4 linked regions of the Caenorhabditis elegans genome follow. The protein of the gene in region 1 purifies or fractionates together with the protein of each later gene. This does not show direct contact. Each region holds a gene or a part of one and is shown in the gene's direction. Other genes may lie near its edges. The genes, in order: slc-25A10, let-721, scpl-4 and catp-8.

Region 1 (6,017 bases):
TTAAAAAGTTGATTTTTTTCAAAAACTCATTAGAAATTTATATTACAGATTGCTCTATTTGGAATAGTCTCTCTTCTACTTCGTGTTGTGTTTATGAATGGAGCAACAAAGTTGTTGAGCAAATGCCCTACATGGTGGAATCTTACAGGTAATTTACAAGAAAAACTCTAATTTTCTCAGACAGTTTTATCAAACCTTGTTTTTTACATTTCAGCTCTAAACTATCACTTTGAATCCCAACCACTGCCGACTCCGTTTGCATGGTATGCTCATTATTTCCCGCAATTCTTCAAACAGTTGGCAACGTTGCAAATGAATTTTATTGAAATTCTTCTTCCGCCACTCTTCTTGATCCCATTGATCCACGTTCGGTACTTTGTTTTCTTCTGTCAGGTGAGTGATGATGACAATGATACAATTTAACCACAAAGTTCAGGTTCTTCTCACGACACTCACACTTTTCACCGGCAACAATGGTTTCTTCAATTACAATATTCTTGTATTGATGGTCAGCTTGTTGCAAACACCCAGAGTTCCAATTGGTGCTTCATTCCTTGCCGCGATAGTTTTCGCGAAAATCGGATTTGAGGTTGTCTATCGGTTGCCGTACAAAATTTTGTTTGAAGACGATCGTTTGCCCAGCTTTGCACTCAGTGAGTTTTGAAACTTTTTTTCTAAGTTTGTGGACTGATTTTTATGATAATTTTTTTTTCAGCTCTCACGCACGAATCTTTCCGTAAATTCATGATATACTATATTGATGTCATTGTTGCAACTATGGCAATAATTTTTACAATCGTCAATTGTTATTCGATGTTAAAGTAAGTTTTAGCCTATAGGTGGGGTAGCCCCAATGGGGAAGCAATGCCAAGATGACCAAAATGACCAAATTGAAAATGCGAAAATCATCGGATGTCATAGTGAAACTCCAAATTATTATTTTTATGTCTCATGAACTTATGGTTTTTCAATAGCACTGTCGCATATTTGAATCCCTGCAATGTTTGAACATTCACAGTTGAAATATAATTAGATAAAACAAATTTAAAAATACATTTTGAAAAAAATTATTATGATATTTGGACATTTTCGCATCATTTCGCATCATTTCGCATCATAAGGTTTCTAACAATTTACGCACTGGCGCTACGCTGCCTTTGACATCTTAATTTTTTTTTCAGAGTTGGTTCGAGTCAAAATGGTAGAATGAAGAAATGGGTGCACTTGGCATTTGTCTTGTGCTCCGTCCTTTTTCTCGGTGTCTATGGAAATATTCCATTGCTAAGAATGGACGAGAAACTTGCTCAGCGAACATACGAGCCGCCAGTTGTGATGACCATGTACAAGACTGTGAATAGCTGGAGCGTAGCAAACTCTTATGGATCCTACAGACAGTGAGATTTCACTTTTTTGAAATTAATTAATTTTTGAAAACTCCAGAATGACCGGAACACACGGAAGACCAGAAATTGTGATTGAAGGATCTCATCATATTGAAGGACCTTGGAGAGAAATCGAGTTCACCTCGAAACCAGGGAAGGTGTCAAAGCGTCCAAGATTTATTTCTCCTCACCATCCGCGTCTTGATATGCAAATGTACTATGCTGCCGAAGGAACATATCAGCAAAATCCGTTCTTTCTGTCACTTGTCTATCATCTTATGCAGAACACAACGGAAGTTGTAAATTTGATTGAAGATTATCCATTCAAAAATCGATCAGAGCCGATGAGATTTGCGCGTGCCAAGCTCTACATGTACCACTTCACTGATATCGGAGACAAGTTTGTGTTTTATTTGAACTTATATAACTCCAAAACTATTTTTTTAGAAACTGGTGGACCCGCAGCTTCCAAGAAGAGTACATGCCGACCTTTAACAAAGGAAATGACGCTCTTCTCAACTATCTCACCGAGCACAAAATCATTAACAAAAGGAAAAGTGAATTCGTTAACGGTCCTCTTGGAAAGTATCTGAAACAGTGCCACCGTCTTACAGCCGGGATCGACGAGATCGCCTTGATCTCCACAATGGTTGTGCTGGTGTTTTTCAGAAAAATGTATAGCTACTTCTTTTCGGCACATCGTCGGAATGAATAGACACCTAACCACTTCTTATTAGATACTCGATTTTTTTTGTTTAGCTTTAATTGTTGATTTCGCCATCATCGAAGCATTAAAATTCATTGACATCTCTTTTTCTTCCCCTGTTTACTGGTTTATAAATTATTTTCAATTTTTTAAAAACATTTGTTTTTTTTTTTGAAATTTGCATGTGTTCGATTCACATTTTATATATTCATTGCTTTTTTAAAATTTTAATTAATATAATAATATTAATAACTTACAAAACAGGTTTTATAATGGCCGAAGACAAAACCAAACGACTTGGACGATGGTATTTTGGAGGAGTGGCTGGAGCCATGGCCGCTTGCTGCACTCACCCCCTTGATCTCTTGAAGGTTTTAAACACATGACTCACTTTCGCAAAAATCCAAAATTTTCAGGTTCAACTTCAAACTCAGCAACAAGGAAAACTGACGATTGGCCAACTTTCACTTAAAATCTACAAGAACGACGGAATCCTTGCGTTCTACAACGGAGTATCTGCATCGGTTCTCCGTCAGCTCACTTATTCGACTACTAGATTTGGAATTTATGAAACTGTAAAGAAGCAACTCCCCCAAGGTTGGATATTGTGCCCTTTCAATGTTTTGATCACAGAATCAATATTTAAGAAAAAAAAATCATTTTCCAGATCAACCATTGCCCTTCTACCAAAAGGCGCTTCTCGCCGGTTTTGCTGGAGCATGCGGTGGAATGGTTGGAACACCTGGAGATTTGGTTAACGTTAGAATGCAGAACGATTCTAAGGTGAATCTCAAACAATTAACGTTTAAAAAATAATAAGTGTTCCAGCTTCCCCTAGAACAGCGCAGAAACTACAAACACGCTTTGGACGGATTGGTGAGGATTACTAGAGAAGAGGGATTCATGAAGATGTTCAATGGTAAGCCGTTATAAAGTTTTTTAAAATAAGAAGCTTGAGAACAAAAGTACCGCATTCATTCTATTAGTGCTAGTATCTCAGTTGTCGGTCTTCCTATATAAAAATTGTCAACTGACAAAATATTTTTGTTCCTTTATCTATTGTTTCATAATACTAAATTTATTGATTTTTTTAAAATCAACCAAATTATAACTTGACAAAATGAATGAATGTGAAAATGCAGTATACAGGTTTTAAAATAGAACCTATCGTATTTTTAATTTCTAATTAACCTGAACAATTTGAAACTTACTGTATTTACTCTATTAGTAAGTCATCCATATCAAACTTGCACCCTCTATCATTAATGTACCTCGAAATTCTTTTAATGATTAGTCTTGCACTCAGTCTTATTCTTGAAATTCCGACTAACTACTTTTAATTTTTTTTTGGCTGTCTCCATTATATATTTGAATTCAAAATTTCAGGAGCTACTATGGCGACATCTCGTGCTATTCTCATGACCATTGGTCAGTTGTCATTCTATGATCAAATTAAGCAGACTCTTATCTCTTCTGGAGTTGCCGAGGACAACCTACAAACTCACTTTGCCAGTTCGATCAGTGCGGTAAGTATGGGTAAAATCAACAACTTTTCCCAGTGTTATTGCCCAACATCAGTACCACACACAAATACCTAGATCAGCACCAAATACACAATTCATTCATATTTTTTCTAGGCTAGTGTGGCTACTGTCATGACTCAACCATTGGACGTGATGAAGACCAGAATGATGAACGCCGCCCCTGGCGAGTTTAAGGTATTATCGGCATCATAAAAAACGCCTACCAAAGTCTACTTTATTTTTTTTTTTGCAGGGAATTCTCGACTGCTTCATGTTCACCGCCAAGCTCGGTCCAATGGGCTTCTTTAAGGGATTCATTCCGGCTTGGGCTCGTCTTGCCCCACACACCGTTCTTACATTCATCTTTTTCGAGCAGCTCCGATTGAAATTTGGATATGCTCCACCAGTAAAAGCTTAAATGTTTCCCGAAAAAATTAGATGTTTCCATTATATTTTATATGTAGAATACTTTTGTGTAGAGATTTCAATTATTTGAATCAAAATGTTTGAACTTTTGTATTAGGAAGATCTGATCCTCCCGTGTTCTCTTTATACAATTTATATATTTTAATGTGTTTTGTATTTTTGATCTATTCCCTTGCCATTGCTGTAATAACCATTTGCATTTCTGAACAACACTAGTCAATAAACACCGAATTGTATTTTGTTTTACTTTGAAAATTTCTTTTCTAACGAATGTGTGAATTCAAACTAAATGTTATCCCATGGAAAAATTTCATAACTATCAAACACAAACTCTTTCCAAAAAATACTGTTTGCTATTCAGGATATGAGTAAACTGTTTACGTTCTGTCAGCTCGATAACCCTTTTTTTTTTGCAAAACGCGCACACCTGTGTATAGGACAGCGTTTTTTTCCACAGCGTTTTTTCCTATTCCTCCCCATTCCTGCCAATAAAACATTTCACATCTGAGAGCGGTAACCAACACTTTTATAGTTTAACGTCTTTTAGTTTTGTTCATTGTTGTTCACACAAGTAGAAGAAAAGGAAGAACTGAACAAAAATTAAATGCGCGAAAAGAATATCATGTGGTTGAAATGAATTCGATTATGACAAATAGATGAGCAACACTTTTTGATTTCTGATAGTTTTCTTTCATTGTGTTCATTGTTGAATCGTTTCCCATAATGCGGTGTTTCACATTTTTTCTTTATAGTCTACGTCATCCCTGCCTCTATCGTGTTTCTGCATAACCAGAGATGCATTGATTTCTTGTTTCACGTTTTTTTGATAATCCTTATCATCTTAGGCTTCGATTTTGTTTTCAACTCAGCGTGGTTACTGATACACAATTCATTCATAATTCAAATGACTATTTCAGGTGACAAGTTTCTTGGCTCCGGTATGGCATCGTCTAATAACGATGGTCCCATTGAGCCTGAGGCTGAACCGTGGCGAATAACACAAAACGATCATCTCGAGCAAGATCTTTTGGAAGAAGATGCAGAGAGTCAGGAGAGAGTTGATATTCCAGTTGATGATGTGGTAAGTGACCCAAGATTAAATTATTTTTAATGAGTAGGTGGCGTCGATTTTTTCTTGAAAGTTACCAAAAGTGCCAGTTGCGAATTATTTTTTAAGATGTGAAGATTGCCGGAAGAACATTTGTATTTCTTCTATTTTTAACAAAAAAGCAGTTCAAATTCATTTTTCGCTCGTTTTCTTGTTGTTTTTTTTCCCAAAATAAACGCTTGTCATTTGTCAAATTTATTGAATTCGACAATCACCCACTGTTTGAATTAATTAGAGCTTCCGATTACCGCCCACTGTTCGTTTAAGTTATGTCTCCTTTATGGTGAAATTATTACAAATTTGGAGTTTTGATTTTCGAAATGTTTGGTTTCAGTTCTTATTGATAAAAAGTTTTTTATATCAATTATTAATGTTAATTTCCTATAACCAATTTTTTTTCAGGAAAAAGCGTTCTCCTTCAAAAAATTATGGGCGTTCACAGGGCCCGGATTTCTCATGAGTATTGCCTATTTGGACCCAGGAAACATTGAAAGCGACCTTCAGTCTGGCGCACAAGCGGCTTACAAACTTTTGTGGGTTTTGCTCTCAGCTCATATTATCGGAATGTTGCTCCAACGAATGTCTGCAAGACTTGGAGTTGTCAGTGGAAAACATATGGCAGAGGTAATATCTAAGTTACATTGAGTAAATTTAAATATTATGTGCTTAAGGTTGCCTACCAATTTTACCCAAGACTTCCTCGCATCATTCTCTGGCTTATGATCGAGATTGCAATTGTGTGTAGTGATATGCAAGAAGTTATTGGAACAGCAATTGCCATTTTCTTGCTCTCTAAAGGATTGTAGGTTGAATTTTGCTTTGGCGTGTTTTAACATGTTTTTAACAGCGTTCCACTCTACGTTGGAGTTTTC
Region 2 (6,575 bases), on another chromosome or scaffold:
CAGATAAAAACTGTTTGACTTTGCAGGAATTAATAAATAAATCGGAAGATGTGACTAGGACCAGTGTTCAAAAAGCTGTATGCGTTCTTTCAAGAATACCACTTTTTGGTCCATTAAAAGCAAAATTGGAAGTAATAACTCAGGCATATTTTGAACAAAAAGATTTTTCGAAAGTTGATGTTCTTGCTCAAATGTATACGAATCTTTGCGATATATTCGACGAAAATCTTACTGGAGAATACTTTTCAAATCTAGCTCATCATGGTACGTTATTGAATCAATTTACTAAAATAAAACATGAAAATAGTTTCAAATGTTCACATTTTAATTAGCGATATCAGTTTCAGAAATATCAATTCAAGAGCTTTTTATACGATTCCGTCACCGAGCTCTACTGCTTTTTAAATTATTCCTATTAGAGCGGAAAGTTTTATTCATTGCACCAACTGGATTACGATTAGGAGAAACTATGCTGGCTATTGTTTCAATGTTTCCAAGTAAGAATATACAGACATTTTAAAATCGTTTAATTTTGAATTTCAGAGCTTTTGGAAGAAGGTCTGTTCTACGCAACAATCGGGGTCAATACGAGTTGTCATTTCAAAAATGTAAATTCAAAAACTGAAGGAAAAAGCGAAGAAATAGTGATAGAAGAGGAGGTTGGTGTTCAGCTTTCACATGATGATCCATTGAAAGAAAAGGATTCGTGTGGATTTCCTATAAGCTTATTCACACAAGGATCATCATTTGATCCATATCTATCAATTCAATCAATGGATTTAGTCCCGAAGACTCAGAGTTGTATATTTGGAGCTACGAATGCCTTATTTGCGATGAAAAAGGATTTATTTGATGTTATTGTGAAGGTTTGTATTTTAAATTAACAATTTTCAGGTTTCTAACTAAACTTGAGTAATTTCAGATCGAAGACGACGGTTCTCTTGTCCATAATCACATTGAATTTGTCAACGACACAGCATTGGAACGAGTAGTTTCTCTAACTACTGCAGATCTTCGATTCGCTGATTTTATTCTCAAAAAAGTCGAAGAACAGGTTAAATCCTCAAATGCTGAATTCGATGGATCAGATGAATGGATTCGTTTACAAATGAAAAACTATCTTCTTGGCCTCGTTGCCACGTCACGTTCCGATCTACAAGCAGCGATACCTCATTTTGGAATCGCTTTTGTAAACGAATGGCGGAGAACTAAAAATCACAAAATTTGGGTTGCAAACAAACATGAAGATTTAACATCTGTTGCGCCAGGGTGAGGAATTTCAGAACATGAATACATTTTTCAATCTGAATATTTCAGGCACATGTTCTCGGAACAAATGGGAGTCTATGACGTGTATCTTCGTTTTGAACATGCCGTAAATGGAGTTGAAGGAGCTTCAAAAGTTATTGGAACTGTAAATACTGCCGGAAAGAATTTAGGAAATACCATTGGTAATTTTTTTCGGGTTTGGAAATTAATATAGCATCTAAAAAATTTCGAGAAATGAAGTAGCAGTAAAAAATTGAGGGCATAGCTTTCATTGCTTTGAATTATTCAAAATGTTCAAAATTTACAAAACTGACATTTTGCCAAAACGAAAAAAATATTTTTAATACTAAAGTGATTAACTCGATCGTGTTTTCAGGAGAAACCGGTAGTCGAGTCAAAGCAAAATTCTCAAACTGGTGGAATCGAAAAGCAACCGCACAAGAAGGTGTTGAAGAGGCAGAGGAGCCATCTGAGTGATTTATTAAAGTCAAATATGTATAATGGGCATTTTATCATCTTTTAAAGTTTTTTATTGTAATTAGAATTTCTGTCATATTTCCTTTGTTTTGTTTGTGTTCCATTCAATTTGATCTCTTAATGATCGAATCGTTTTCATCCGGTTTATGTAAGTCTAATCAGTTTGTTTTTCATGTAATCAATATAACTATGCATTTGTTTAAACTCAAAAATTGGTTTAATATACGGGTGAAGATGAACATCCTTTTATATATTACTTTCTTCTAATGATAGAATTGTGATTTATGATCTGTGACCATTAATGTTTTGATTTTAAATACGTAGACAAGTTGAAGAGGCAAACAAATAACGTTTAATATTTAGTTGAAGAGAAAACTTTTTTTTCAAAAACTCGGATAATATTTTTTCCAGTTTTCTTATTCACATTTTAAAAGCACAATTTACAATTGATAATGTTAAAATTCAACAAACTTTTCAAACTTCCCAGGAACCCCCTACAAACTTTGTTTTCCTGTGACGTCACTAAGCTACCTTTGCACTGTAGACGTTCAGATTTGTAGTCTCTCCTCTTTTTGTCCCTCGTGGGAGACACATGTTCGTTGTACTTTGCCCTTTTGTCTACTCCTCTTATCTCTCCTTTCCTCTACACGTACGCAAAGATACACTTTACCCTGATTTTTTGCTTTTCTTTTCCGAAAATCACAACAATTATGTATTTTGTTTTCATTTGAGGAATACGTAGAAGAAAGTTATAAATTTTAGCTAAAATATTTAGAACTACAATTTTGTGACCCCAAAAATAATTCGAAAAATGTATCTTTGATAGTAAATCACCCATTTATTGTGGCTGGCTTGGCTGGTTGTTGACTTGTTTGTTTTGTCTGCAGTTGGTCAATCGATTTGTTTTTTCCCATCGTGTCTAAATATATTTTTAGTTGTTTCTTTTTTCAATTTTATGCGCCCAAAGATACAGTCACCGGTCTCGACGCGACAAAATTTTGCTAAATGAGAAAAGGCGTGCGTCTTTAATGAGTACTGTAGTTTCAAACATAAATAGGTTGCTACATAAATTCTACCGGTTTATCATTGTTTTTTTTCCAGAATTACTAAAATTTAAGTATTTATATCAACGGATATATTTGAGTCTTCTGTAAATAAGCTTATTTATTAATTATTAATTATTATTATTATTTTCGAAAATCTATGAAAAATAGAGTAAAATTCCACAGAAAATTTGAAATTATAGTATTCTTTAAAGACGCACACCTTTTTGTATTTAACAGTAACCAGAATGCATATATTTTGCGAAAAAAGCAAATACATTTTTCATTGAAAATTCACGTAATTTTTTAAAATTAAAATGCAACAATTATTTCTTCAATTATCGATTTCTTTCTCATTTCTCAATTTCTGTGACTTCAGAATGCGGATAAGTGGAGTCACATTATTCCGCGTCTCATCACAACTTCGCAACGTCGTCAACGGACAATGGACGACTACTCACTATACTGTAAAGGATCGATCCACTGATCCACGGTGGAAGGATGTTGATTTGGCACGAGAAAGTGATGTTTATGATGTTGTCATTGTTGGAGGAGGTCCATCTGGTTTATCAGCAGCCATTCGATTGAGACAATTGGCTGAAAAAGCTCAGAAAGGTAAAATCTAAACAAATACATTTTAGAGTAAACATATTTTTTTTAATTTCAGAACTTCGTGTCTGTGTTGTCGAAAAGGCATCTGTTATTGGAGGGCACACTCTCTCAGGAGCTGTAATTGAAACTCGAGCTCTTGATGAACTTATTCCAAATTGGAAAGAGCTGGGAGCTCCAGTTTACCAACAAGTTACCTCTGAATCTATCGCTATTCTCACTGAATCTGGTCGAATTCCAGTTCCAGTGCTACCTGGAGTTCCACTTGCAAATCACGGAAACTATATTGTTCGTCTTGGAAAGGTCGTTCAATGGCTCGGCGAGCAGGCTGAAGCAGCTGGAGTCGAAGTTTGGCCAGAAATCGCTGCATCTGAAGTGCTCTACAATGAAGATGGAAGTGTGAAGGGAATTGCCACAAGTGACGTTGGAATTGGAAAGGATGGAGCACCGAAAGATGGATTTGCTCGTGGTATGGAATTCCACGCGAAATGCACAATTTTCGCTGAAGGATGTAGAGGACATTTGAGCAAGCAAGTTCTCGATAAATTTGATTTGAGAACACATGCAATGACTTATGGAATTGGACTCAAAGAACTTTGGGAAATTGATCCAGCAAAGCATAGACCTGGTTATGTTGAGCATACTATGGGATGGCCATTGGTAAGTTTCTGAAGATCTAAAAAATTAAGAAAAATTGAAAAATCTAGTAAAATGTGAGCTTTTTTTTTGAGTGTTTCAGATTAAAAGATATATTCTAGAATTTAATCTCTAAAAAATGATTTTTCAGAATGTTGATCAATACGGAGGATCCTTCTTGTACCATATCGAGGATCAAGGACAACCACTTGTTTCCGTTGGTTTCGTTGTTGCTCTTGATTACGCGAATCCAAATCTCAATCCATACAAAGAATTCCAAAAATACAAAACTCATCCATCGATTTCTAAACAATTGGAAGGAGGAAAACGAATTGGGTACGGAGCACGAGCTCTCAATGAAGGAGGATTCCAAAGTATCCCGAAGCTTCATTTCCCCGGAGGATGTCTTGTTGGATGCTCAGCTGGTTTCTTGAATGTCGCTAAACTGAAGGGAACTCATAATGCAATGAAAAGTGGAATGGTGGCTGCTGAATCAATTTTCGAGGATATTCAACAAAAGGGAGAGGATGTGCAAACGATTGATCCAGCTACATATGACAAGAATATTCGTGATACTTATGTTGTTAAAGAGCTCAAAGCAACCAGAAATATTCGTCCATCATTCAATACTTCATTGGGATACATTGGAGGACTGATCTATTCTGGAATATTCTATGTTTTCGGTCGAGGAATTGAACCATGGACTCTTGGACACGGAAAGAAGGATAATGAGAAGCTCATTCCAGTGAAGGATGCAAAAGAAATCGATTACCCAAAACCAGATGGAAAGCTAACTTTTGATCTTCTTACATCTGTATCTCTTACTGGAACCAACCATACAGAAGATCAACCTGCTCATTTGACATTGAAAAATGATCAAGTTCCACTTGATGTGAATTTGGCAGTATATGGTGGCCCGGAGGCTAGATTCTGTCCAGCTGGTGAGATTTTAATACAAATTTGACTTTTAAAAACACATAAATAACTTTTTTTTCCAGGAGTCTATGAATTCGTCCCATCCGAAGCTGATGAATCAAAGAAGCGTCTCCAAATCAATGCTCAAAATTGCATTCACTGCAAGACATGCGACATCAAGGATCCTCAACAAAACATTAACTGGGTTACACCAGAAGGAGGTGGTGGCCCAAAATACGAGGGAATGTGAATCCTTTAGCTTCTCGTTTATGTTTGTGTATAATTTTTGTACTTATTTATTCGCCACTATCGACTCGTAGATTATGTATTTCTGTTCTTCAACGGTTTCTCTCAATTTTCTCTCATTTTCGTGTTCCCCATCTTTTGTAATGCCATTACATTTTTATCCAAACCAAATGAATAGATTTCTGATTAGTGTGTACTTGAACGGAAAAGCTTCAATATTGCCATAATTGTGGTACATATATACATTCATCCCACTACAGTATCCTTTTCTGAAAAGATTGCAAAGTGTTGTATAGAAGAAGAGACGCAGATAATCAAACAAGACGTCTGCGCTCGTGTATGTTTGTCTCTGGACAGACATACACACAGAAACACCGACAATGAAGATATGAAGACACACAGACACACAGAAAGCCGTCATCGATTCTCCTGTTTTCTTTGAGCCTTATTTATATTTTTCTTATTACTCCGACGCGTAATTTTGAGATTTTTGCGCCAAAAACGGTACCCAGTCTCGACATGATATTTTTTTTAATGTGATAATTTCAAAACGGTGCACACCTTTGGAGAGTACTTTAATTACAAACTTTTGTAGTTGCGGAATGTTCATCGATTTTCCATCGTATTCCGATGAAAAACATCCTTAACTATTGAAAACTCAAAAAAAAACACGAATTTTAACAGAACGTAAGAAAAGTATGAAAAATCATGAACGGTTCCACACCAACTAGATTAAAAAATTACAGTACTCCTTGAAGGCGCACAAGTTTTTCTCATTTAACTAAAACATGTCGTGTCGAGAATCGGCACCGTATTCTTGGCGCAGGAGTCGCAAAACCTCTGTCTGTGTATTTAGTAATGTAGATTTTCAAGTTTTCTGAAAAATTAATGTATATTTGTAAGTTCAGAATGAGTAGAAAAGATTGCAAAAATATTGTCGAAGACGAAGAAGAAGATGAGAAGAGTAATGGGAATAAATCTGAAAGTCCACAAAATGCTGGCCTAGAAGAAACAATTCAGAATTTTATAGCAACATTTTTACCTGGTTCAAGTGATGAGTAAGAGTAGTAAATAGCATATTAAAATTTTTTTTAAGTTTCAGACCTCATATTACGGATATTCCAAGTTCATCCGAACCTCAAGAAGGATCTAGAGAATGCAGACTCTCCAAAGAAGCACATCGGAAACGTCTGAGAAGAGCTCGTGAAACATCAGAGGAGACTCACACACGTCTTGCCAAGGCTGCAGACTATAAAAGGAAGAGATGCTCAGAAGAGACAGAAGAAGAATATAGAGAACGATTGAAAAGGCAAGCTGAAAGAAAAAAAATGGAAAGAATGCAAGAGTCGGAAGATCAGGCAAATAATCGAAGAATAAAGG
Region 3 (7,495 bases), on another chromosome or scaffold:
ATACACTACTTCTCTTGACTTCACAGCTTCCTCGTTATTCCTTCAATTGGATACGAGAATATCTGGCAAAGAAAGCAATGAGAGAAAAGGATGAAAATGAAAGCAACGAACAAAAAAAAAGGCTATAAATCAGACGGCACTCCGCCAATTTCCTGAAAATTGCTCAAGTTTTCTGAGTGTGAATTTGAAATGGAAATGCCACGTCAGCAGAGTGAAATGTGGAAAACTATAATTAGAAATCTGGAAAAGTGTTTTGTGCAAATGAGTTCAGTCTAATTTATAATGGTTGGTAGAACAGTTTAAACTGAAACAATTTGATTAACAATTTAGTTTATCTTCTAAATCTTAATTTGAGCAGTATCATAAGTTTCGTCATTAAAAAAATTTGGTACATATTTTTTCTAATCATGCCACTTGAATGAAAATGTTCAAATTTCATGTGAAGGTGTACATTTTAGTTTGTTTATAAACTTGGTAAAACTATGCTTATCGTGACTACATGCCATTGAAAAAATTATATGAGGGGAGCAATAGGAAGATAGAATAGGACACGGAACAGGAATGAATGAATGTGGAAATTTTATTGGACAGAAAATCATTCTCATACCAATTTAGAAAGAAAAATGACCACTTTCGACCAGAAATGGATTTCAGGCGAAAGAGTGTAGGTTATGTATAATCATAGGATTTATTTGTATGCCAATTGAATTGAAAACAAAAAGAAGTCAGGAAGATGGAGTCAGAAATTCGTTGCTAGGAGATAGAGACCCTTGGGATTACAAAAATTGTATGCGATGTTTTTAGTTGTAAAAATCTTCAAATGTTTTTGACATTTATAAAATCAACATTTTTTCACAATTTGAGATAGAATAAATTAAGTTGATACAAGTCCAAGGGATCTAAATAGAATAAATTAACTATGAACTTTGGAAAACACGTCAAATATCTAACGACGACCGTAACGATTTTTATTCTACTTTTTACAATGATCATTGTAAATATCGCGTTAACGTTGCCTTTAAAGGCCTTTTTTAATGTGAATTTCAAACTTTTTTAAAGGGAGGTCCAATTATGCAAGTGGGCCTCGCCGCGCGAAATATATTTTTAAACGAAGAATGCTATGCGCCTTCATTCTTACTGTAGAAGCTTTAGAAATTGTTTCAAGAACTTTTTTATTTTCTGTTCTCTGTGTAAATAATATTTAGATATTGAAAGAGTATAAATAATAAATATTTCAAACTTTTAGATCATAATTTCGATTTTTTCCTGTTTTTAGACTTGTGCGTGTGTGTAGATCATTTGTTGCTCTTCTTTTTTTAACCCCGCGAATTCGAACATAATGATGAACCCGATAGTTTTGAATGCTCATCAGTCGATATTTCCTCAGTTGATCTTCGATCACTTCAGTAGGAATGTCGTCATCCTCTTTTATTTCTTCAATCCCTACTAATCACACAATATTCGCTACTCCTGCTTCTAAGAAATACTCAGTACCGAATGCGGAGCACAGCTATTTTTATATTCCCCCGTGCAAATCTGTTGTTAGTTCTGAAAAGGTAAGTTGAAAAATGCTTTAAAAAATAATTAAAACTAATTAAAATTTTCAGCCGCTAACAGTATTTATGAAGCGAGATGTCATTGATGGTTTAGAGATGGAATGGATTGAACACTCGCCACGAGTAGTTCTTCTTTATGCATTTGCTGCAATTCTGACTATTGGATACTATGCAGGATCTTTCGTTTTTCAGTATGGAAACTATACCCCAAGGAAGAAAAACAATATTTTTGGTGAGTTTTTTCTGAAAATTTTTTAAAAATACATTTTTGTTTCCAGATGAAGCTTTTCTGACTCGTGTCGTGATTGTGCAATGGCTGATACTTCTCGCTATACTGTTTTCCGGAGTATTTCTCTACCGCCGTCTCTTCATGCCACTCTACATTTTCCTTGCAGTCATGGCCACAAACGGAACTCTCGTACTTTTTATGCTCAAAGTGAAGCAGCTAGTTGATGCACGGATAAACATCAGTGAGTTGAGCGAACCAGAATTTTATTTGAGAAAACATTTTTCAGTGGACATCTCGTTGAATATGCTCGGCCTTCTACTATTCTGCGCAGTTTTACACGATATTGTCTATTTCTACGCAATCCATTTGAAGTTGGTTGAGTCACGTCCCGTCCTTGTTCCTGGCTTCCGCGTATACGATGCAACAATGCCGAATCACTATTCGACTATTCATTCAACTCGGATGGCACCAAACAAGAATGCTTCATGTGAAACCGTAGATATAGTATAAGAGATTATTAATTCATCCTTAATAGCATATTATCCCTATTCATAACTTATTCTATTGCTCCAATGATTGTTGATAAGCTCGGTCCTATAATATATTCTCCTAACGTTGAATTCATATCCAAAGCCTATTGTGATTTCGATTTAAAATCGACTATTCATTTATTTCAAGAATAACTTGTACTTGCTTGATTTATTAACAGGATTATCTATATAATTTAATAAATTCAGTCACGCTCTTTGACATCTCGACATTTATAGCGATATAGCGCTAATAATAGGGAACTTCTTTGAACACATCTTTAGTGCATACTATTTTCGTGAAAAAAAGTATTAAATAAACAAGCGTATTCTTATAAGTATAAATTTATAACAAGATACAGACATTTTTGTTAAAATTATAAAAATTATAACAAAATTTTTCATGAAAGTTTGCAACGACACTCCGGTTTACGATTCGCGTGTTGTTTATCGTAAATCGTAAGGGTTCGTTCAAGACGTGATTTTTCCTGTTTTATTTTCTTAATTCTATTACAATGTTCAATTCATTTTAAATTTCTTGCAAAGATAATAATTAGGTCTTGTATCAAAATTTCTACGTTTTCTCATACTTTTTTTTAACCTAATTATTGCATCATAGTACGCATTTCTAGATTCTACCAATCCCAAAAAATTTCAGGGTAAAAATGTCGCTGAGCAAGTTGACTCAGACCTGCTTCAGCCGACACCAAGCGAAAACATTTATAAGACTTTATAGTTCAGGTAAGATTCCACCAATATTTCTCATTATACAAAAATTTCAGATTTTAAATCTCTTCTGGGCCCACCGGCTGTTGCAAACCCTTATGCAGACAATGGACGCACTCGTTTTGCTCCAATTGTGCCAATAAACGTATTGACTTGAATCAGTATAGATAATTTATAATTATACAGTTTTCAGCACGGAAATGTTTTTGCTAGTATCAAATTGCCGATAAATGAGACCCAAGAAGCAATCGCATTCAAATCAGAAGTCGAAGAAGCCCCAAAAGTAGAGAAACTCGAAGTTGTACGCATAATTTGTTTTATTTGATAAATTTTGAAATTTGTAGGAAAGTCCAAAAATAGAAGCTGAAAAGGTGCTGAGCTCCCCGCCTCCTGCTCCTGCCCCCACGTCTTCAGCCATTGACGAGTTGAACTCACTGAAAGATTCTCTTGAAAAATTGGAATCTGCTGCATCAAAGTCTTCCTCTTCTTCTGGAGGTTCTAGTGATAACAGTGACGTAAGTCTTATATTCATAACTGTTTTAAGTGTGGTTTTTAAGCCTGGTAACGCTGAAGAAATCGAAGCTCGCCGGAAACGAATGGAAAGAAATACTCGCATTGGAGCATATGTTCTGTTTGGTGGATCTATTATCGGATTTATTTCGTTCTGTTTCTACTATGGACGTGCACAACGAGATGAATTCGGAAATGTGATATCTGATGAATTCAGTGGTTCTTTCTTGGCACCGTTCTACCGCATTGCCAACAGTTTTAAATTATGGAGAGATGTGAGAATTCAATCTTTTAAAGATTCAAAAAAGAAATGTATAACATTGTTGAACACAAAATGCCAGAATACCTTTTTTCTACAGCTATTGCTGATATTTTCTGAAAGTATCTAATTTATTCATATACCAATAATAATATTTCTTAAAACATCAAATAGACCAACAATTTTATAAATCCATAATCAGTAACACATGCAAAATTTGATAAGTTTCAAAATAGATTTAGTTAATCTCATCCATTGCACTTTTTCTTGACCAATTTTTGAAATGAATAATTTTACAAAAAATAGCTTAATATAAAAAGAATGATTAAAAATTAGTACCATTATCAGAATGATTTGTAATTTCTGCTCAAAAAAAAAAGTCGGAATCGCGACTTTTTCCGGCAGTACTGTATTTTAATATTTTTATTTTCAGTATGTCGTCGAGCCAGCACGTGAGCAATTGTTGCCTGATCCATTGCCAGCACCATATCTCCAACCAAAATATACAATTGTGATCGAATTGAAAAATATTCTTGTGCATCCTGAATGGACATACAAAACTGGATATCGTTTCCTAAAGCGTCCAGCACTTGACTATTTCCTCGATGTCATTGGATATCCAAATTTTGAAGTCGTTATCTATTCATCTGAATCAATGATGACAGCTGCTCCAGTTGTTGATAGTTTTGATCCAAAACAAAGAATTATGTACAAGTTGTTCAGAGATTGCACAAAGTATATGAATGGACACCATGTCAAAGTAAAAAATTACGATTTCTCTTAATTAGTTAAACTTTTTTTCCAGGATTTGTCGAAATTGAATCGCGATTTGTCGAAAGTTATTTATATCGATTTTGACGCTAAATCAGGACAATTAAATCCAGAAAACATGTTAAGAGTACCAGAGTGGAAAGGAAATATGGATGATACAAGTCTAGTTGATTTGGCAGAGCTTCTTAAAAGTAAGTTGTTTTGAATATGAATGATTTGCTTCAATTTTAATTTTTTTTGCCAAAAGCACGAAAAAAGCAAAAAAAAATTTGTTTTATTACAATATTCTGAGAATGCGTATTGCGCAACATATTTCACGCACATATTATCTCGTAGCGAAAACTACAGTAATCCTTTGAATGACTACTGTAGCGCTTGTGTCGATTTACGGGCTCGATTTTCGAAATGCCGTAAATCGACACTAGCGCTACAGTAGTCATCTAAAGAAGTTTTCGCTACGAGATATTTTGGGCGTCAAATATGTTGCGCAATACGCATTCTCAGAATTCTGTGTTCCCGTAAAATACGTTTTGAACGTTAATTTGAAAAACTCAGATATTTTATTGAAATTTTCAATAGTTCTAATTTCCAGTGTAATTTTTCTTTTGAAAAAAAAGGTGTTAAATTTGAACATTATCATACGATTTTCAGTTTGCGATAGATTAACAAAATTTTCGCAAATTTTTCCTTTTTCCCGAAAAAACCAAAAAAAAACGCATTAAACGAAAAACCAACAGATCTGACTTCGATATTTAATTACATCATTTTTAAAATTATAACATAAAATCTTATAATTTTGGCAAAAAACATGATCATTATCGATCCCGTTATTGGAACATTTTGTATTTTATTAATTCAGCTATTCACCTATCTGACGCTGAAGATGTTCGTCCCATGCTACAGTACTACTCGCAATACGATGATCCAGCGAAAGAATTCCGTCGACGAGCTGTATACTTGTCACAACAAGAAGAACAAAAGAAACAACAACCCGATGATAGTTCCATGTTGAAAAGATATTCTGGAAGATTGTTCGGATCTAGAAGACACGTTAATGCCTAAACTTTCCAAACATTTTTCATCTGATGATATGATACTCTGACTCTCTTTTCCCTGCGCCCTTTTCACTCTCAATGTGCCTTTTTATAGCTCAATTTTTCTAATAATATAGGATTGTAGGTTTATATTGTTTTCTTTTTTAGTTCTTTCCATTCTTGTGTTTTTTTAAATTTAGTTCTTCCCACACTAGAGTTGTTCAGAGCCGGTATATGACAGTTGAATTCTCCGTCTACACACTTCTTTGTTGATTTTTGTTGTTTCTTATTCCACCCTTTCCAAAAAAACGTATCAATTTTTTTCAGAAGTGTTCGTTTCATTTTTCCTTTTGTTTTTGAAATTCTCACCATAAAATCCGATAAAACATTCAGAAAAATTGTGTTCTTCTCATTTGATAAACGCGCGTTGAAAAATCGCGAGAAAGCTTTATCACATTCACTTTTTATTTTTCTCTTTTCATTTCATTTCGATTATCTGGGTCGATGTTGCCATCAAAAGGGCATCAGAAGCATCCACAAGACAAGAGACGCAGTATATGATCGTTCCAAATTTTGAAAGCTTTCATTCACTGCGTCTCTTCTTTTGTTACTCTCTAAAGTCAAATCAAACATTTGGTCGATTACAATTGTTTGACTATTTCCACGTCATAAAATATATATTTTCCATATTGAGCAATTCATTCGTTTTAGCAACGGGTCTTCAGAAGAGAGAACATAGGAGGAGGAGAGACGCAGATAATACAGTTGGTGACGTCATCTACAAGAGAAGGATTACAGAGGGACAATTATGAAGGTAAGAATAAACTACTGGTAAATAAATACTACACTAATCTTTCTCTCCGATTTCTGAAAATAATTGTAGATGGTGGAAAGGTTTAAAGATAGAAGACGCAGAAAGATTATGATAGAAATGGGCGGATCTTTCTCGAGTGATAATGAAGAAATCTGCAGGAGTTTCCTTTTTGTGATAGAACATAGTGAAAGTACGATTTATCGTTTAATGATACACTTTCTCTTTTTTTTCTTCAAATTTACAACTGTAATTAAAAGTTAGGCAGATATAAATCTAGCATGAACTCCTAACATTAAAAAATAATTCCAATATTAGAAAAGCGTTTCTTAAAAGTCCTATCATCTTACTACCTACAACATAGATATGACGTATTGTGTCCAAAATTGTCCAATCTGACAATTTACCCTGAAATTTGTCTCGTCTAAAGTTGCATCTGTGTCCATTGGGATGATACTGGTCTTTTTGTCCGCTCCTACACAGTTGGCTAGTTTTTATTATACCATCAAGAATCGAGTCGCATTTTTTTCCATGTACTTGCATTATTCATGGTGCAGAGAAAAAGAGCGAATATTCAACAGTGATCATGACTGGTACGTAGATTCTATTGACTTCTTTTTTTAACGTTACTTTTTCATAAATATAGGTACATTTGAAGATAAAGTATCGGTTCTAAGTTTTTCGCTTGTTTCAAAAATGACTTAATTAAAATCTCCAATTTTGCTAACTTTTCCGTGACGCAGCTGTTGGAAATTAACTTTTTTAAAAATTATCATTTTTATAGCATATTTTGGTCTTTTATCTCATAATATTTGGTTGATTCAGGCATTTTCAAGTCCAAAAATTATCTTAATTGATTGCCTGCCGGCTTTAAACATACCGTAATCAAACAAATAATATGAGATAAAATACCAAAATATGCTACAAAAATAATAATTCAAAAAAAAAACAGTTAATTTCCAAAAAATTTCCAGAGTTTGACACAAGTTGGCAAAATTAGCCCATCTTTTCAAATTTTTGAACAGCCATAAAAAGTTTTGAAAATGTTTTAAAATTCTCATTAAAAACGTGT
Region 4 (9,865 bases), on another chromosome or scaffold:
GCTAAAATCAGTCGTAAATTCGGTGTGCTAAAATGCATTCGCTGTTCAGAAATACATTATTTTCAATTTCAATAAAACTCATTCCGAAGATTCATTTTTATACCGGTTTTGACATTAAAACATAGAAAATGATATGGGCATTCAAAGGGGTTGATTTCTAAAACTGAAATTAACCATCGAGTGGCTCAATAATGGTGGTTTTGTATTTTTGAGAGAGCGTTTTCCATTGCTCAAAGCTCAAAGGAGTAAGTCCGTGGGTAGAGTTGCGTTCATCATTTTGCAATTTTTCTTGATCATTCACAGCGGTAGGTTTTTCTGAAAGAAATTAAATATTTACAGACAATTAAATATAAAAACAGTACTCAGAATTGGAACACCGTTTTCTTCTAGCAGGTAAACTTCACGATCGCGCATCAAATACGAGACGTAGAACATATTTTCAACCTGGAAAATGTCCCGTAAAATAGTTATTTAACCAAAAATGAGCTTACCGTTCTAGAGAAACTAGTCGGATTTGTGATGAGTTCGTAATAGTCGATTTGATCCGTCTTCCGAGTTTTAAGCTCTTTTTTCAGAACTTTCAGAACATGTTGAAGCTCTTTTGAGATTGAAACCTCTTCACTTTGAACGTTTCTCGCCTTATCGCTTACTTTGACAAGTGCTGCGGGTTCTTTTCTCTTCGCACCTCTCTCAACCTTCTCGCGGATCTTTTTCTGTTTCTCAACACGTTCAACATCAACTAGTTGGACACTGAAATAAAAATAAAAATATAAATTACAGAAACATTCCAACGAACATGAAATCGCAACCAATATTAAATGGATAAACTGCAGGCTGAATGAATTTTTTATAATGAGGAGGACCATCATCGTCTTTTTTCGAGCTGCTCGCAAAAACCAGCTCAGGAGTCAGACGGTGGAATAGGGCAAGGCGTGAAGCAAATCTATGGTTTTCCGCTGAAGCAAACATATAAAGTTATGTTTAATTTTAAATCAATTTGAACTAAAAATTTAGTTTCCTTACAGAGTCGGGCGTCTTTGTACATATCGTCGTACATTTCATTGATCTCATCCATATTATCATCGACAATCCATTCATCGCACCAGTTACTTTTATCCACTGTATGAGCTTTCACAGAAGTCTCGATTTGTTTCAGAGCATCTCCAATTTTATTTCCAGCATCAACCGGGTCAATTACAGCACCTCCATTTATTTCGAGAAGAGTCTCACGCGTCGTTTGACCGACAAGTTCTAGTAATTCAGTGTCCGTTGAATAGAGAGCGGTGTTTAGAGCTTTCTGAACAAAAAATACAATTACTAGAGGTTTTCAAAAGTTATGACCTACTTTTAGCGGTTTCGATTGTTCTCTCAAACTCGTAACAGCAGATTCCAGTTTTTTAATTTTAGAATCGACAGTTTCAGATTTCCGAATATGGGCGAGCTCGCTTATCTGTTTCTTTAGCTCTTCGGCAACGGCATGATTCTCTCTGCATTGCACCGTTGCACTTTTCTCCTCTCGGTTCCGAAGTTGCTCGATTTTGTCCGCTGTAACCTGAAATAATGTTACTTTTTCAGATCGCATCATCTTTGCTAACCGGCTGTCTACATAAATTGTCCGCAACCATCTTTGAACTCATGCGGCGAGGATCGATACCATCCATTTTATCCCTGAAAACAACACTTGATTTTATTGCTATATTGGAATAGAGTTTTCTGGTTTTCATGAGTAGATTATTTACGATTACTCCTGAGAATGTAATTTGATAAAGCTTTAAAAACGTTCTGAATAGAAAAATATCAAGGAGAAGGGTTCAAGAGAGTGAAAATGTTGCAAAATACAAACAAATTGCAAACAAAAAAACATGATTTTGAAATTCGCTCCGCAATTGCGCGTCACAGTGTTTGCACACAAACCTCATGGCTCCGTGGAACTTTCTCGAAAAATAAACGATTCTCTTTTTGTTTTTGGACTGAAATTTTACGTATTTTCTGAGTGTTTTCTTTTTTCTTGAAATTTGAATAATTTTTATGACAATTGTTCATACAGAGAGCAATTACGTGTTCAATCGTCGATTGAAAAGAGTTCTTCCTTCCGTCTGTCAAGTTTTAAATGTTTTTTGAAATGGCACAAATAAAACGTTTTTTCGTAGTCCATGATTATATATTCTGCCACTAGTAAGAATGAAATCGTTTCATTGTTATTAGTGTCAGAATTTAAAAAAAAACTGAAAATATCGTTGAACATTAATTTATTTGCTTCCTCCGGGATCATATTGTGCAATATTTCATCGTTTCTGACATACTATAAATACAATAACTTCCTTTCAGAACAAGTCTCCAACAAACTTCCATCTTATCAAAATGTCCAAGTATGGCTGCCCAACCTCTGACACTGATCCAAACTCGGTCACAATGATTACGAAGCGAGGACCAGTGAACAAGACATTGAAATCGGCTGCTCAATTGAATGCTGCTCAGCGTGCTGGAGTTGATATTTCGACCGAAAAGAAGACGATGTCTGGTGGCAATCGCCAGCACAGCGCCAACAAGAACACTCTGCGGCTTGATGAAGAAACGGAGGAGCTTCATCACCAGAAAGTTGCTCTGTCCCTCGGAAAAGTCATGCAGCAGGCTCGTGCCACGAAAGGTTGGACGCAGAAAGATCTTTCAACGGTTAGTTAATTTTAAAATGAGATCTTTAATTGAACATTTTATTTCAGCAAATTAATGAGAAGCCGCAAGTAGTCGGCGAATACGAAAGCGGAAAGGCTGTCCCAAATCAACAGATCATGGCAAAAATGGAGCGTGCGCTTGGAGTCAAGTTGCGCGGCAAAGATATCGGAATGCCATTTTCAACAAAGCCACCAGCGAAGAAGTGATGAACTAATAATGTTACATCGAATAGGTCCAACTCCTGGTGTCCCCACTTTCCCGTCTATTTCTCTCATTCTCCAGCCCCGAAATTCTCTTACCGATCCCCGCGTCTCCTGTTTTCTTGGGTATCTCTTTCCGTCTGGCCTCTCTTACCCGTACCTTATCATGGTTTTTGTTCAACATTATTGCTCTTTTTGTTATATTTTTGTATTTATGCTAAATTTATTTTCTTTCTGTACAGAAACGACGCAGGAGAATCTGAAATAAACGTATCATTTTAAATCCATGACTGTGACATGATTCAACTCTCCCAACGTTTCCATATCGTTTACAATTATACTTTAATTCAAATTCGCATTGTTTCTAAATACAAAAATCGATTTTGCAGGGTCCTGTAGCCCGGAAAGATGGGTGTCGACCAACTAGTCGAGACTATTATACCATACAATTTAAGGTCTATAGCAACTCATTTATATGTTCCTCCTTTTACAAGTGAGTCAAAGAATAAGTTAATGAGATGGAATTTTTAAAAATAAATATAATCTTTCAGTAATCACTGCAATCTGGACATATGTCTGGCTCAATATTTTCGGCTATGAAGAATATTATGAACTTGGAATGTTGGGATATGCAGCAATTTTTGTGATTCTTGCACTAGTTCTTCTTTTCTGTCATTGGATGATGCCTGTTCGATGTTTCCTCATGTGTTCAAAGCAAGAAGATGTTCGTATTGCTTCTCATGTGTGTGTTATCCCTACACAAAATAACGGATGGCCGGAATTAGTTAAACTTATGAGAACAACGGTTAGTCACAACTATTTAGAAACATTTTCTTCAAATGAATTATTTCAGCGTGATAAACAAACAAAGTTATGGTTCGAATTTCAAAGAGTTCACTATACTTGGGATGAAGAGAGCAGAGAATTTCAGACGAAAACTCTTGATACTGCGAAACCAATGGTTTTCTTTCAAAAATCACACGGATTCGAAGTTGAAGAGCATGTTAAAGATGCTAAATATCTTCTCGGAGACAACAAAACTGAAATGATTGTTCCACAATTCTTGGAAATGTTCATTGAAAGAGCTACAGCTCCATTCTTCGTCTTTCAAGTGTTCTGTGTTGGATTGTGGTGTCTGGAAGATATGTGGTATTATTCACTTTTTACACTTTTCATGCTTATGACATTCGAAGCAACACTCGTCAAACAGCAAATGAAGAATATGTCTGAAATCCGGAATATGGGAAATAAAACGTATATGATTAACGTGCTCCGTGGCAAGAAATGGCAAAAAATCAAGATTGAAGAGTTAGTGGCCGGAGATATCGTTTCAATTGGAAGAGGTGCTGAAGAAGAATGTGTTCCATGTGATCTTCTGCTTCTACGTGGACCCTGTATCGTTGATGAATCGATGTTAACTGGAGAAAGTGTTCCACAAATGAAAGAACCAATTGAGGATGTTGAAAAAGATAAGATCTTTGATATTGAAACAGACAGCAGATTACACGTTATCTTCGGAGGAACCAAGATTGTTCAGCACACAGCACCAGGAAAAGCTGCAGAGGGAATGGTAAGATTTTGAAAATACAACGTTTTTAGAGTCACCAAAAATGTATTTTATATTTCTTTAATTTTTGGACATTAGATATATTATTCCCAAATTGGTTAAAAATACCGACTTTCGTGATCATACATTGTGAAAATTTCTTTTAAAAAGTTATGGCGGTTCAAATTTTTGAGAAAAAAACTTATTTTCAGTTAAATCTGATATATTTTTTTTCAATTTTTCAGCGTCGCAAATTAATTTTTTAAAAATTATCACTCTGTTGACTAAAAAGGCATTTCAATCAACGAAACAACGCGTGATAAATTGCCAAAATACTTCCTTCCGCGACTTGTACACAAAATTTGAGATTTTCGCTGGAAGTAATTTTTTTTCATCAAATCTTTGAACCAGGCCATTTTGAACCTAATGAAGCCTGTGACCAAATTTCTGTACTCCATCGTTAAGAAAATGAGAAAAAGGCATATTCTCAGCTAAATAATTTGCAGGTAAAATCACCGGATGGAAACTGCATCTGTTATGTAATTCGAACTGGATTCAACACTTCTCAAGGAAAACTCCTCCGTACTATCATGTTCGGAGTCAAGAAAGCAACTGCTAACAATTTGGAAACCTTCTGTTTCATTCTTTTCCTTCTTATTTTCGCAATTGCCGCTGCTGCATATCTTTGGATCAAAGGATCAGTTGACGAGACTCGGAGTAAATACAAATTGTTCCTTGAATGTACACTTATTCTCACTTCTGTTATCCCACCGGAGCTTCCAATCGAATTATCACTTGCTGTCAACTCATCATTGATGGCTCTTCAAAAATTGGGAATTTTTTGTACAGAACCATTCCGAATTCCATTTGCCGGAAAAGTCGATATCTGTTGTTTTGACAAAACAGGAACATTGACAACTGACAATTTGGTTGTTGAAGGAGTTGCATTGAATAATCAAAAAGAAGGAATGATCCGAAACGCAGAAGATCTTCCACATGAAAGTCTTCAAGTTCTAGCATCTTGTCACAGTCTCGTTCGATTCGAAGAAGATCTCGTTGGAGATCCATTGGAAAAAGCATGTCTTTCATGGTGTGGTTGGAATTTAACAAAAGGAGATGCTGTAATGCCGCCTAAAACAGCAGCCAAGGGTATTTCTGGAATTAAAATCTTCCATCGTTATCACTTTTCATCGGCAATGAAGAGAATGACAGTTGTTGCTGGATATCAATCACCTGGAACTTCTGATACGACATTCATTGTAGCTGTCAAAGGTGCTCCAGAAGTGCTCAGAAATATGGTAAGAATTTTATATTTTGTCTCGACAGGACAAATCTTTGTCTCAAAAAAAAAATTGTCTGACTTATCATAAAATGGAAAGCCAACATTTTTGATTTTCCAGAAAACCATAAGAAACATATAATTTTCTCATTAAAAAAAAAATGAAAAATGGCCAAAATTTTGAGCTAATTTTTGAAAAATCGAATGTTTGTTATCGAAAAATTGGAGAAACAGAAAATCAAAAATTTTGGTTTTTTAATTCTTAATAATAAAAAACGAACAATTTATATTTTTTCGATTTTCCGGAGAAAATTATCCATACAATTCAATTTTTATCCTATTTTTATTTATGTTGACGAAAAATGAGAAAAAAACATGAGAAAACACAATTTGTTTCATAAAATAAGAAAAATAACCAAGATGGTAAGCTATTTTTGGAAAGTCAACAGAACGAAGAACGAAAATGTTCGATTTTTAAAAAAAAATCATCGTTGTTGAATTTGTATCGATTATTTCTCAAATTTTGTTCAAATTTATCTGTTTTTATAGCTTTATTTTAGTTATTATCATTTTTATTAGAAAACTATTAAAATCGATGAAAATTCCAAAGCAATGCGTTTTAAATTACAGTTTAAAGGCGCGTACTAATTTGCATTTAGTATAGATTTATAGAAAACTTTCACATCTGCGTAATAGTCATTTTCTAAATTTCTATTTACAGTACGCCGACCTTCCATCTGATTACGACGAAACGTATACTCGTCTGACTCGTCAAGGATCTCGTGTTCTTGCTATGGGAATACGTAAACTTGGAGAAACTCGAGTTGGAGAACTTCGCGATAAGAAACGAGAGAATTTCGAAAATGATCTCGCATTTGCTGGATTTGTCGTCATATCGTGCCCACTGAAGAGTGATACTAAAACAATGATTCGTGAAATTATGGATAGTTCTCATGTAGTTGCAATGATTACTGGAGATAACCCATTAACAGCTTGTCATGTATCAAAAGTTCTTAAATTCACCAAAAAGTCATTGCCGACTTTAGTTCTTGATGAACCTGCCGATGGAGTTGACTGGATGTGGAAATCTGTTGATGGAACTATCGAATTGCCGTTGAAACCAGAAACAAAAAATAAAATGGAGAGAAAAGCGTTCTTCAATTCTCACGAATTCTGTCTGACCGGTTCAGCTTTCCATCACTTGGTGCACAATGAGCACACTTTCCTACGAGAGCTTATTCTACATGTTAAAGTATTCGCAAGAATGGCTCCAAAACAAAAAGAACGAATTATCAACGAGTTAAAATCATTAGGAAAAGTTACTCTTATGTGTGGAGATGGTACAAATGATGTCGGAGCTTTGAAGCATGCTAACGTTGGAGTTGCTCTTCTAACAAACCCTTATGATGCAGAGAAGGCCGCTGAAAAAGAAAAAGAGAAAAAAGCAAAAATCGAAGAAGCTCGTTCACTCGTTCGCTCAGGAGCTCAATTACCACAACGACCAGGTGCCCCAGGAGCACCTCCAGCGGCTAACGCAGCTCGTCGTGATGCTCCTCCTGGAGCCCGCGCGAGAGCTCCCCTACCACCAATGGCTAATGCTGCTCAAGCCCGACTAGATAATCTAATGAAAGAGTTGGAAGAAGAGGAAAAAGCTCAAGTGATCAAGTTGGGTGATGCCTCAATTGCTGCGCCATTCACCAGTAAATATACATCGATTGCATCCAGTGAGTTTTTCAAACAATTTTACCCAGATTTTTGCGCTAAAACTACAGAACCTATGGTCTCGACATGACAACTTTTAAAATACAAACGGGCGCGCGCCTTTAAAAAGTACTGTAGATTCAAAACTCTTGTTGTTGTAGAGTTTTTTAATGAATAATTTTTTAACGAAAAACTATGAAAACTCCGCAGCAAAAAATGTTTAAAACTACAGTACTCCTCAAAGGCGCACACGTTTTTACATTTGCCAAAAATTTGTCGTATCGAGACCGGGTACCGTATTTATTACTTTTAGTGCAAAATGTTGTGCCTCTGTATAATATCATTCACTTCTCAATTTTTTTTCAGTTTGTCACGTCATCAAACAAGGTCGTTGTACTCTTGTTACAACTCTTCAAATGTTCAAAATTCTCGCTCTCAATGCTCTTGTTTCTGCTTATTCACTTTCTGCACTTTATCTGGATGGCGTTAAATTCAGTGATACCCAGGCAACTATTCAAGGACTTCTTCTTGCAGCATGCTTCTTGTTCATTTCAAAATCAAAGGTTTTTTATCTAGCTTATTGTTAATTTTTATGTTAAAATTCCAGCCTCTGAAAACATTATCTCGTCAACGACCAATGGCGAATATTTTCAATGCCTATACTCTTCTGACTGTCACTCTTCAGTTTATTGTACACTTCTCTTGTCTCCTTTACATTGTCGGACTCGCACATGAAGCCAATACAGAGTAAGTTTTAAAGAAAACCTGAAAATGTGCAGAAAATTGTATTTTGCTGTCCAGCCCTAAACCATATTCTTTATAAACGCGAGTTGTATCTCTCCGGCGGCATTGCCGTGTGGTCGAATGGTTAACGTGTGCGCTTGTCGCCCGTTAGTCGCTGGTTCGTGCCCGCGCTGTAGAGTTTATGGCGGATAGGAACCAGGTCATGTTTGTACGTGATTTGGGCCGACATCCCCGCCGAAATAGTCCTGCGAAGATCTAAGGTCGCTTCTGGATGGATTTGCCACCGGGTGCACACCATCTTCGTGCACAATTTTGAATATTCAACTTTTTTTTTCAGAAAAGCTCCTGTCGATTTGGAAGCAAAATTCACGCCAAATATTTTGAACACTACGGTTTATATAATTTCAATGGCTCTTCAAGTTTGCACATTTGCTGTCAACTACAGAGGACGACCGTTCATGGAATCTTTATTCGAGAATAAGGCCATGCTTTACAGTATTATGTTCTCAGGAGGAGCAGTTTTCACTCTTGCCAGTGGACAAGCTACGGATCTCATGATTCAATTTGAACTAGTTGTTCTACCAGAAGCTGTAAGTTTTATCCTATAAATAGTGTTCCTTATTCATACTTCTCTCATTTCAGCTACGAAATGCGTTGCTAATGTGTGTCACAGCGGATCTTGTTATCTGTTATATCATCGATCGTGGTCTGAATTTCCTGCTGGGAGATATGTTCTAAATTACTCGTTTTTCTTATTATCCTTCTTCCTTGACATTCCCTATCAACATCTTTTTTCTGCCATCCTGTTGTTTAATTTATTTTTTCGGTTTTATCTTCACTTAGAACCAAAGCTATCGCATGATCTAAGATCAGAAATAGTCATTTCATTGTCGCTGTTTCAGAGCATAATGTTTCTGTGATATATACATTTCTGTTGAAATCTTGCAGATTCATTTACAATGTATTTATTTGAGTCTTTTTTTAGTAATAAAATTATCATCATCATTCAAACATTCAACAAATTTGTAACGAGTATAAAATTTACATCAGAAATTGTTTCTATCGAGCTTTGCTGACTCGCAAAGCTAATCCAGCGTAACCAATAGTGTAGAAGATCAAAATGAATGCAGACATGATGAAGAGATCCGGATAAAACATTTCAGCGCGGAATGACAATTGGGAGAGTACGGAATCACGTTTCTGAAAAATTAAATTAAAATTAACAGCATTTCAAACTGTTTCTAACCTCATCAGTCCAAATAGTTGTATTCTGTTCATTGACACTGCTCCACTGATTGATTGCAAAAGCCTCAAATCCATATCTGAACCACGAGAGATACTGTATCCACGAGATGTATGATGGTAGTGCACCAACATTAGCGTAAAGACCTCCAGTCAATGATAGAAGTGTGAGCATTGGGCCAGCAGTTGACATTGCGATCTGAAAATTCTATGATTTATGAAGTTAATTGAAGTTTTTTACAAACCGGTAAAGACGGCGAAATGCAAGAAATCATGATTCCACAAGCTGAAGAAGATTGCTCAATGAGGAAGGCGATGAGGCATGCGTATAGAACCTGGAATTCCAATTTTTCAAAAATATTATGGAGACGCAGAATAATGCGTATTTCGAAGTTTGGTCCCATTAGGTATTTGGCGGCAAATCCATGGATTCGAAAGTGTTTTGTATTGTTTTGCCGCCAATTAAAAACGCATTTTTCT

Evidence for each region.
Region 2: the proteins of slc-25A10 (region 1) and let-721 fractionate together in Caenorhabditis elegans (co-fractionation; one large-scale study listed by BioGRID). This does not show direct contact.
Region 3: the proteins of slc-25A10 (region 1) and scpl-4 fractionate together in Caenorhabditis elegans (co-fractionation; one large-scale study listed by BioGRID). This does not show direct contact.
Region 4: the proteins of slc-25A10 (region 1) and catp-8 fractionate together in Caenorhabditis elegans (co-fractionation; one large-scale study listed by BioGRID). This does not show direct contact.

What each region holds. Positions count from the first base shown.
Region 1 is NC_003284.9:6,722,004-6,728,020, reverse strand, and holds slc-25A10 (Mitochondrial dicarboxylate carrier), read left to right. Parts: upstream 1-2,352; 5' UTR 2,353-2,360; coding exon 2,361-2,459; intron 2,460-2,504; coding exon 2,505-2,685; intron 2,686-2,755; coding exon 2,756-2,871; intron 2,872-2,916; coding exon 2,917-3,007; intron 3,008-3,474; coding exon 3,475-3,614; intron 3,615-3,725; coding exon 3,726-3,806; intron 3,807-3,864; coding exon 3,865-4,029; 3' UTR 4,030-4,278; downstream 4,279-6,017. Other genes in the region: K11G12.6 (Lipase maturation factor), read left to right, coding at 49-148, 215-393, 437-653, 716-821, 1,182-1,394, 1,441-1,782, 1,830-2,097; NRAMP-like transporter smf-1, read left to right, coding at 4,978-5,118, 5,548-5,769, 5,817-5,947, 5,993-6,017. UniProt on the Caenorhabditis elegans protein: Catalyzes the electroneutral exchange or flux of physiologically important metabolites such as dicarboxylates (malonate, malate, succinate), inorganic sulfur-containing anions, and phosphate, across mitochondrial inner membrane.
Region 2 is NC_003281.10:6,443,501-6,450,075, reverse strand, and holds let-721 (Electron transfer flavoprotein-ubiquinone oxidoreductase, mitochondrial), read left to right. Parts: upstream 1-3,168; 5' UTR 3,169-3,169; coding exon 3,170-3,404; intron 3,405-3,456; coding exon 3,457-4,058; intron 4,059-4,185; coding exon 4,186-4,975; intron 4,976-5,032; coding exon 5,033-5,199; 3' UTR 5,200-5,383; downstream 5,384-6,575. Other genes in the region: T26A5.6 (UDENN domain-containing protein), read left to right, coding at 27-264, 342-497, 544-866, 923-1,269, 1,318-1,451, 1,646-1,746; C05D11.13 (Vicilin-like seed storage protein At2g18540), read left to right, coding at 6,105-6,253, 6,292-6,575. UniProt on the Caenorhabditis elegans protein: Accepts electrons from ETF and reduces ubiquinone.
Region 3 is NC_003283.11:10,596,135-10,603,629, forward strand, and holds scpl-4 (Mitochondrial import inner membrane translocase subunit TIM50), read left to right. Parts: upstream 1-2,970; 5' UTR 2,971-2,977; coding exon 2,978-3,053; intron 3,054-3,094; coding exon 3,095-3,183; intron 3,184-3,231; coding exon 3,232-3,339; intron 3,340-3,382; coding exon 3,383-3,553; intron 3,554-3,595; coding exon 3,596-3,823; intron 3,824-4,240; coding exon 4,241-4,567; intron 4,568-4,612; coding exon 4,613-4,769; intron 4,770-5,437; coding exon 5,438-5,640; 3' UTR 5,641-6,013; downstream 6,014-7,495. Other genes in the region: T21C9.13 (DUF4149 domain-containing protein), read left to right, coding at 1,413-1,556, 1,608-1,788, 1,835-2,026, 2,072-2,295; H27A22.1 (Glutaminyl-peptide cyclotransferase), read left to right, coding at 6,421-6,426. UniProt on the Caenorhabditis elegans protein: Essential component of the TIM23 complex, a complex that mediates the translocation of transit peptide-containing proteins across the mitochondrial inner membrane.
Region 4 is NC_003282.8:11,472,649-11,482,513, reverse strand, and holds catp-8 (putative manganese-transporting ATPase catp-8), read left to right. Parts: upstream 1-3,262; 5' UTR 3,263-3,281; coding exon 3,282-3,366; intron 3,367-3,424; coding exon 3,425-3,678; intron 3,679-3,726; coding exon 3,727-4,443; intron 4,444-4,925; coding exon 4,926-5,717; intron 5,718-6,419; coding exon 6,420-7,422; intron 7,423-7,765; coding exon 7,766-7,962; intron 7,963-8,006; coding exon 8,007-8,146; intron 8,147-8,261; exon of another isoform or gene 8,262-8,480; coding exon 8,481-8,733; intron 8,734-8,785; coding exon 8,786-8,881; 3' UTR 8,882-9,151; downstream 9,152-9,865. Other genes in the region: nse-4 (Non-structural maintenance of chromosomes element 4), read right to left, coding at 170-315, 363-444, 492-750, 797-956, 1,024-1,297, 1,346-1,552, 1,596-1,661; mbf-1 (HTH cro/C1-type domain-containing protein), read left to right, coding at 2,362-2,673, 2,721-2,879; wht-2 (ABC transporter domain-containing protein), read right to left, coding at 9,203-9,343, 9,390-9,584, 9,631-9,720.